Linked DNA regions of Mus musculus: region 1 is reported to be linked to region 2. The links are microRNA targets in miRTarBase. Many come from high-throughput screens and were not tested one by one. Region 2 holds a microRNA gene; the other region holds the end of a gene's coding sequence. Distances are from middle to middle.

Region 1 (3,535 bases), 77 Mb from region 2:
GGACCCAATCTCCGCCAGTCTACACCGCAACCAGCCTGTCTCACAGCAATCTGCACTCACCCAGTCCCAGCACACAGACGCCCCAACCCTCAGCCATCCTTTCACCCTGCTCCTATACCACAGCAGTCTGCAGTCCTCCTATACAGAGCCCCCTGGCCACACGAACTTTCCATTATGCCTCTCCCACTGCGTCCCAGCTGTCACTCATGCAGCAGCCTCAGCAGCAACTACCGCAGTCCCAGGTACAGCAGACTCAGACTCAGACTCAGCAGCAGCAGCAGCAACAGCAGCAGCAGCAGCAGCAGCAACAGCAACAACAGCAGCAGCAGCAGCAGCAGCAGCAGCAGCAGCAGCAGCAGCAGCAGCAGCAGCAGCAGCCACAGACACCTGGTAGCTCCACACCGAAAAATGAAGTGCACAAGAGCACACAAGCCCTTCATAACACCAACCTGACCAAAGAAGTCAGGCCCCTTTCCGCCTCGCAGCCTTCTCTGCCCCATGAGGTCTCCACTTTGATCTCCAGACCTCATCCCACTGTGGGCGAATCCCTGGCCTCTATCCCTCAACCCGTGGCAGCAGTCCACAGCACTGGCCTTCAGGCAGGGAGCAGGAGCACAGTGCCACAACGTGTCACCTTGTTCCGACAGATGTCCTCGGGAGCCATCCCCCCCAACCGAGGAGTGCCTCCAGCACCCCCTCCACCAGCAGCTGTGCAGAGAGAGTCTCCCTCAGTCCTAAATACAGACCCAGATGCAGAAAAACCCCGTTTTGCTTCGAATTTATGATTCTTGATGATTGTCAAAGCAGAAAAGAAGTACTCTAATAAACAGAATATTCTCAGATATTATTTTATTCTATCTCACGATAGATCCCTATAGCCTACTCTGAAAAAAAAATATTTTAGAAGCTGTGGCCTACATGCAAATGTAAAAACATATATACATATATAATTAAATATATATATATATATATATATCTAAATGCCCAAGAGAAGTTCAAAAGACTTGTATAACATTCAGTGTTACATGTCTTCCTCTCTTTAAAACCATTAAAGGATTTAACACATTGTTGTAAGGTCATTGATTTCTAACCTTTTACTTGATTCCTTTGATATATGTGTTTCTCCCTTTTATGAAGAGTTCTTGGAGTCAATGGAAACAAAACTCTTGATTTTAAAAAAGGCAACTCCAATTAGATCCAGCATAGCACCAATCAAAGCTTTCTTTCATTAGCTGTGCCTCTGCGTCTAGGTTGTTAATTATGCGGGATTCAATAAACAAATCCCAGTTTATAGCTCTCAATTGTATTTTGGTGCTTTAAATTTTGAGTTAGGTGAAGGAACACGCTCCATGCTCAGCCACCGTAGGAGACTAACATTGCCATTAAGGCTTCCTCTAACCTCAAACATGTTCATTGATTTTGTGAGAAAAGTGAGGAGATATTTGTCTTCATGTGTCACTGGACTTTTACCAAGACGCAGTCAATGTTAGCTGTAAATAACTTTCCCAGCCCGAATTAAAGTAACTATTCTGTGTTGTAGAAAGGTAAAAGTCAGTGTTTAAGAATTTAGTTTTACTGCTTCACTTCAAAAGTTAGAGTTTTAAATTTCACAAAACACTCTAATTGTGACAGCTGTTCAAATGTAATGCAATGGCTTGAGACCTACAATATCATTTTTAACCTGCGATACTTTAATGCAAAAATTGTATGCTTGAACCTACAAATTGCTTGTATGACACCAAAAATCATTACTTTTATTCCTTCTTGACATAATCAAGCACCTGAACCTGGTCCTGGCATGCTTTCGGGGGCAAAAAAAAATAAAATAAAATAACTTAAAAAAAAAAGTAGATTCAAATCAATCATTGTAAGAAAAGGCTGACAGTATTTCTCACTTCTAGATGAGTATAACTATTCATTAATTGCCTCTCTTAAAATTCTTAAAAGGCTGACTTGGATCTCTGACTTAAATCTAGAAGTGAGGTTTTCACTTTCATTTGATATTGTTGCTGTTCTTATTGTTTAAGCAATCATTTGCAAACCATAGCTTGTTTTGGAGTTAAAGGTGTTATGTGTCTTCATGTTAGTTGGTAGTTTATTGTGATGTTAATGTGAAGAAATAAATACTATATATCACCACATCTGTTTGGAAATACACATTTTGCCCTTTGTATATTGTAACTAAGCAGTTAGTAAATCTTAAGGCATGTGGTAACCTACATAGTCCTTAGATAGACAGGAGGTTTGTTCTTTCAAATGTGCTGAAACTTATATGGACTCCGTGAGGGGAAGCAGGGGGGAATTGAGCTGTCTGAAAGCATTGTCTGTTTGTTCACTTGTTTCCTTAATTCTTTCTGTGAGCATCATGGAGCCTAATCTAGGGAAGTCCCTTAGCGATCTTGCTTCATGTGTGTTTGCTGCACCTCACACAAGTGGTGGGTGAGTAGAACACAGTAGCAGGCTCTCTAGTGCCTGACTTCTGTACGTAACTCAAGAGAGTGAGCTGATATGGAGGTCTTTGACATTACAGGCACAAATGATCTATTTAAGAACATAAAGACCATACATTCTATTGGGACAGGGCCTCCAGGTATCCTTGAGGACCAAGAACAAAAGTAGAAGCAAGAGGTTTAAAGTGGATCTACATTGCCTTTTATGAAACCAAAATGAGTCGTTGCACTTAATTGCTAACGGATCCTACCTTGTGTGAAACAATCAGCAATGCTAGGTAACGTGATGTCATTCCTGTAATGCTAGTGACCAATGGTATCCTGTTAGGAATGATGTAAGAGAGAGATCCTGCAGCCTACGTAAAATCTATGGGAAAGTTGCAAGACCTATCACATATCAGTACAAAACTCCTTTATTTTATTAAATTTAAAAATTAGCTTCTTGTTAAGATCATGTACTAGTCCTTTAAATTATTAAAGGTCTACCTTTGGCAGGATTAATGCATTTCGTAGTAAAATATTTTTATATATCAATTTTTTGAGCACTATTGGAGAACATCCGCAAAATTGAATTGCATGGTTATTCAGTGCAACCAATAAAATTTTTATTCACTTTGTACTCGAATGGACAAAGAACACTAAGGTTTATATGTTAAAGTAACAAAACCATACAGGGTATATTAAATACACATATGTATGAATGTGTGTGTTTGTAAAGGTACAGTGCTAGGAGAACATGACCTTTTTTCTCTGTACATAGTTAAGCTCAAGTACGGAGTTTTAATCTGTACGGGAAGAGCTGTATTGGGGTCTTTTACTGCTGAGAAAGTAGAACAATAACTTATACTTTGCACTGTATGACCAGGGAAGAGTTAGAGTATTTCTTTTGTCTTTGCTCAAAGCCATACATATATAAATATATATTAAGATTATTAATAAATTCAAAAGAAAATAAACCAAATTATGAATATTTTATTTTGTTGTTGAAATCTAATCAAATGTTTAACTCATTGAGGAGTACAGATTTGCTTGTTGTTCTCTCTTTGTATAATCTCCAAAAAGATTTGTTTTTGAAAATCACCATA
Region 2 (3,000 bases):
TTCCAGGACAGCCAGGGCTACACAGAGAAACCCTGTCTTGAAAAACAGAAAGAAAGAAAGAAGGAGGAAGAGAGGGGGGAGGGAGGAAGGAAAGCTTGGTGTAATGGAACAGGCCTTTAATTCCAGCTCTCAGAAGCAGGTGGATCTCCATGAGTTCGAGGCCAACTTGGTCTACAGAACCAGTTCCAGGACAGCCAGGGCACAGAGAAACCTTGTGTCAAAGAACCAATTAATAGATTCATTAATTAATCAATTAATTAATAGAAGAAGAAAGAAAGAAGGAAGAAATTGCTGCTTACAATGAAATATACAAATCACCTCGTGTCTCTGTTTGAGCCTTTGAGACCCTAAAAGGTGAAAGGGCCAACAGGATCCCTAGTGTTCAACCTGCTTCATTTTCTTCGTGTTCCTGTGGGTGAGACTACACAGGCGTGTGAGGCATTCTTGGTGGGATTCCTTAGGTGTTGTCTAGCTGGTCCTTTTTAAAACAAGGTCTCTTATTGGCCTGAATTCCAGCCGAGTATTTAAGTGGGCTCCCCAGGGAGCCCCCCCATCAGCACTGAGGTTTGTGTGGATGGTCTTTTGGGGTGCCCCTAGGCAGGAATCTGGCCTTAGGCCATGATAAGGAAGTAAGTCTCCACGAGAATCTAACTTTAGGCTACAATAGGGAAGTGGGGTTAAGGCAGGAATTTTAATCTTAGGGTGCAACAAAAGAAGTAAACTTCAGGCAAGATTTGGGGCTTGGACTGGGAAGTGGGCTCAAGTATTTTGGTCATTATAACAAGCCCTTTTAAACAACTGTCATGGCAGTAATTCCCGGACTTTGCTTACTGCCTTGTTATTTCCTTATTGTACTGCTTGCCTTCAATACTTGCATGTAATTAAAATGGTATAAAAAGTGGATTGGGAAAATTAAATTTGCCTTCAGTCTCAGAATTGACCAGGGTCATGCTACAATGTTGTCTAACTGTCTTTTTTCTTTTTAATCCTCACTCCTGCGCTGGAGAACCTGTTGATTGACTGAGTGGGCTTGGTCAGGTTTGCCAGTGTGCCCCACAACTGCCTTTAAATAGCAAAGACGTGTTTCTGGGGATAGAACTCTGGTCTTGGTGTTTGCAAGGCAAGGACTTTACTGCCTGATATATCTCTGAGACTACCTCAACCCATTTTCCCCGGCAGTGAATGTGGACCCACAAAATGTAGGCAAGTCATTTCAACTATCCATTGGGATAATTTTAAACAAAATTTTAGTTTGTTGTTTTGTGGGTGGGCATTTGGTGTGTGTGTGTACAGCTGTGCACCACACTTGTACAATCCCCTGGAGCTAGAGTTACAGATTGCTGTGAGCCACCATATAGGTGCTAGAAATTGAACTTGGGTCCTCTGCAAGAACAAGTGCTCAAATGCTCTTAGTCACTGGACCCACCTTTCTAGTCCCCATCAATTTCTGACATAGGAAAATAACAATTAAAAAAATAATTAATTAAAATGTCAAAACCTCTGGTAGTCTTCAATTCTGTTGGTTCACTTTTTATGTTGTAACTTCCTGCGACTAAGACCCTCATTATCGTCGCTTAAAATGTAGTGAGTGAACGTCTCTGTGCCTTGAGTCCTGTCAGTATCTGACATCGGGATGACACAGGTGTGAATTGTACTCTCGCAAGAAAACTAGGAAATAATTCTGTACCTCAGCTAGGGAAGGAGGAAAAAGGAAGTGGCTTATAGGGTGTGCAGGACCACAGACTATCATGGAACAAAGCCAGAGGCCAGCAAAGGGGAGAATAGAGTAAGGTAAGGCATTCAAGACACAGTGAACCCCTTTCTCTTTATAAAATTTATAAAGAAATGATGACACTCGTTTCCTTGGTAACCTACCTACATAACAGGTGAGTGAAGTCTGCAGGAACCTTGGTTCCCTCTTAAGAGACTGTGTACTTATAAAAAACTCACGGGTGAAGGCCAGACTGGTGGCATATGCCTTTAGTCCCAGCCCTTTGAAGGCAGAGGTAGGAAAATCTTTATGTTCAAGGCCCAGCCTGGTATATGTAGGTGAGCTCCAGATTAGCCAGAGTTATATAGTGAGACACTGTCTCAAAAAACAAAACAAAACAAAACAAACAAACAAACCAACAAAACAAACCCACAAACGAGCTCATGGGTCTTCTAACTAACTGGTCCCCTTTCTCATACATATACGAAACAGAGATCATTTAAGCTCAACTAGTAGTAAAATGTATCCCCTACCCCCGATTGATTGATTTTTCTCTCATACAGCTCTGGCCATAGACTCAGTGATCTCAAAAATTTCATGAGCCCAATTGGTTTGGGAAGCATAAGTTTCCTATGGATGTAAGCTCTCAGGTACATTATAGGCCACAAATGAGCCACATTCCCTAGACTACTGTGGTTCAGATCCGTTTCCTGCTTCCATCACTTAAAGCTTGGGTCCTGGCACCTGCGCTCAAGGAGTGCACCAGTCTCAATGGATTACAACATGGGCAGCGCTTAAGATAAAAATACAGTAAGCCAGCCATGTCCAGGATCCAGGAGAGAGACTATGGGATAAAACAGGGCGGGTCCAGAGTCTGGCCTAGAGGTCAATGGAACCTGGAAACAGGTAGAGCCTGTTCTCCAGGCTCACCATCACCAAACTCTCCCCGAACCCGAACCCCCTTTTCAGGCCCTGTGCTAGTTTGGAACTGAAACATCTTTGCAAAAACTCAAGTGTTTCAAGGCTTTGTTCCTAAGGCAGCGGTGTTCATGCGTGGGGCCTTTGGGAAGAGATCAAATCATGGGGGCTTTGACCTCAGCAATGGCTTCACAGCGGCATCAGTTTGGAAGATGGTGGAAATGTCAGGAGGTGAAACCTAGGTGGAGAAAGGTCCCTGAAGGACAGCTTTTGTCCGTGACCTATCCTCTCCTAGGCTTTGCTTCCCAATAACTGTGAAGCCACTGACCAGGAATGTCTAAGTAGGCAAGATTCAACTTACCTGGCAGTTT

The links. Region 2 holds the annotated microRNA mmu-miR-5124a (GGUCCAGUGACUAAGAGCAU, at 1,404-1,423, opposite strand). A microRNA usually pairs through its seed, bases 2 to 8, with sites in the 3' UTR of a target mRNA and lowers its output. Matches are read on the target gene's strand: a 7mer-m8 pairs with bases 2 to 8, a 7mer-A1 pairs with bases 2 to 7 and ends in A, and an 8mer does both.
Region 1: the mRNA of Hcn1 is a reported target of mmu-miR-5124a. Seed matches in the 3' UTR shown: 7mer-m8 at 1,458-1,464.

What each region holds. Positions count from the first base shown.
Region 1 is chr13:117,975,450-117,978,984 of GRCm38, forward strand. Hcn1 (hyperpolarization activated cyclic nucleotide gated potassium channel 1) reads left to right here. Exons shown (of 8, transcript NM_010408.3): 8 at 1-3,535. The coding sequence ends at 785. Among named protein-coding and RNA genes, the nearest start is that of Gm3474, 18 kb to the left of the region's middle.
Region 2 is chr13:40,864,224-40,867,223 of GRCm38, reverse strand. It overlaps Mir5124a (microRNA 5124a), which reads right to left and starts at 1,433; the gene lies at 1,362-1,433. It also overlaps a transcript of Gcnt2 not described here.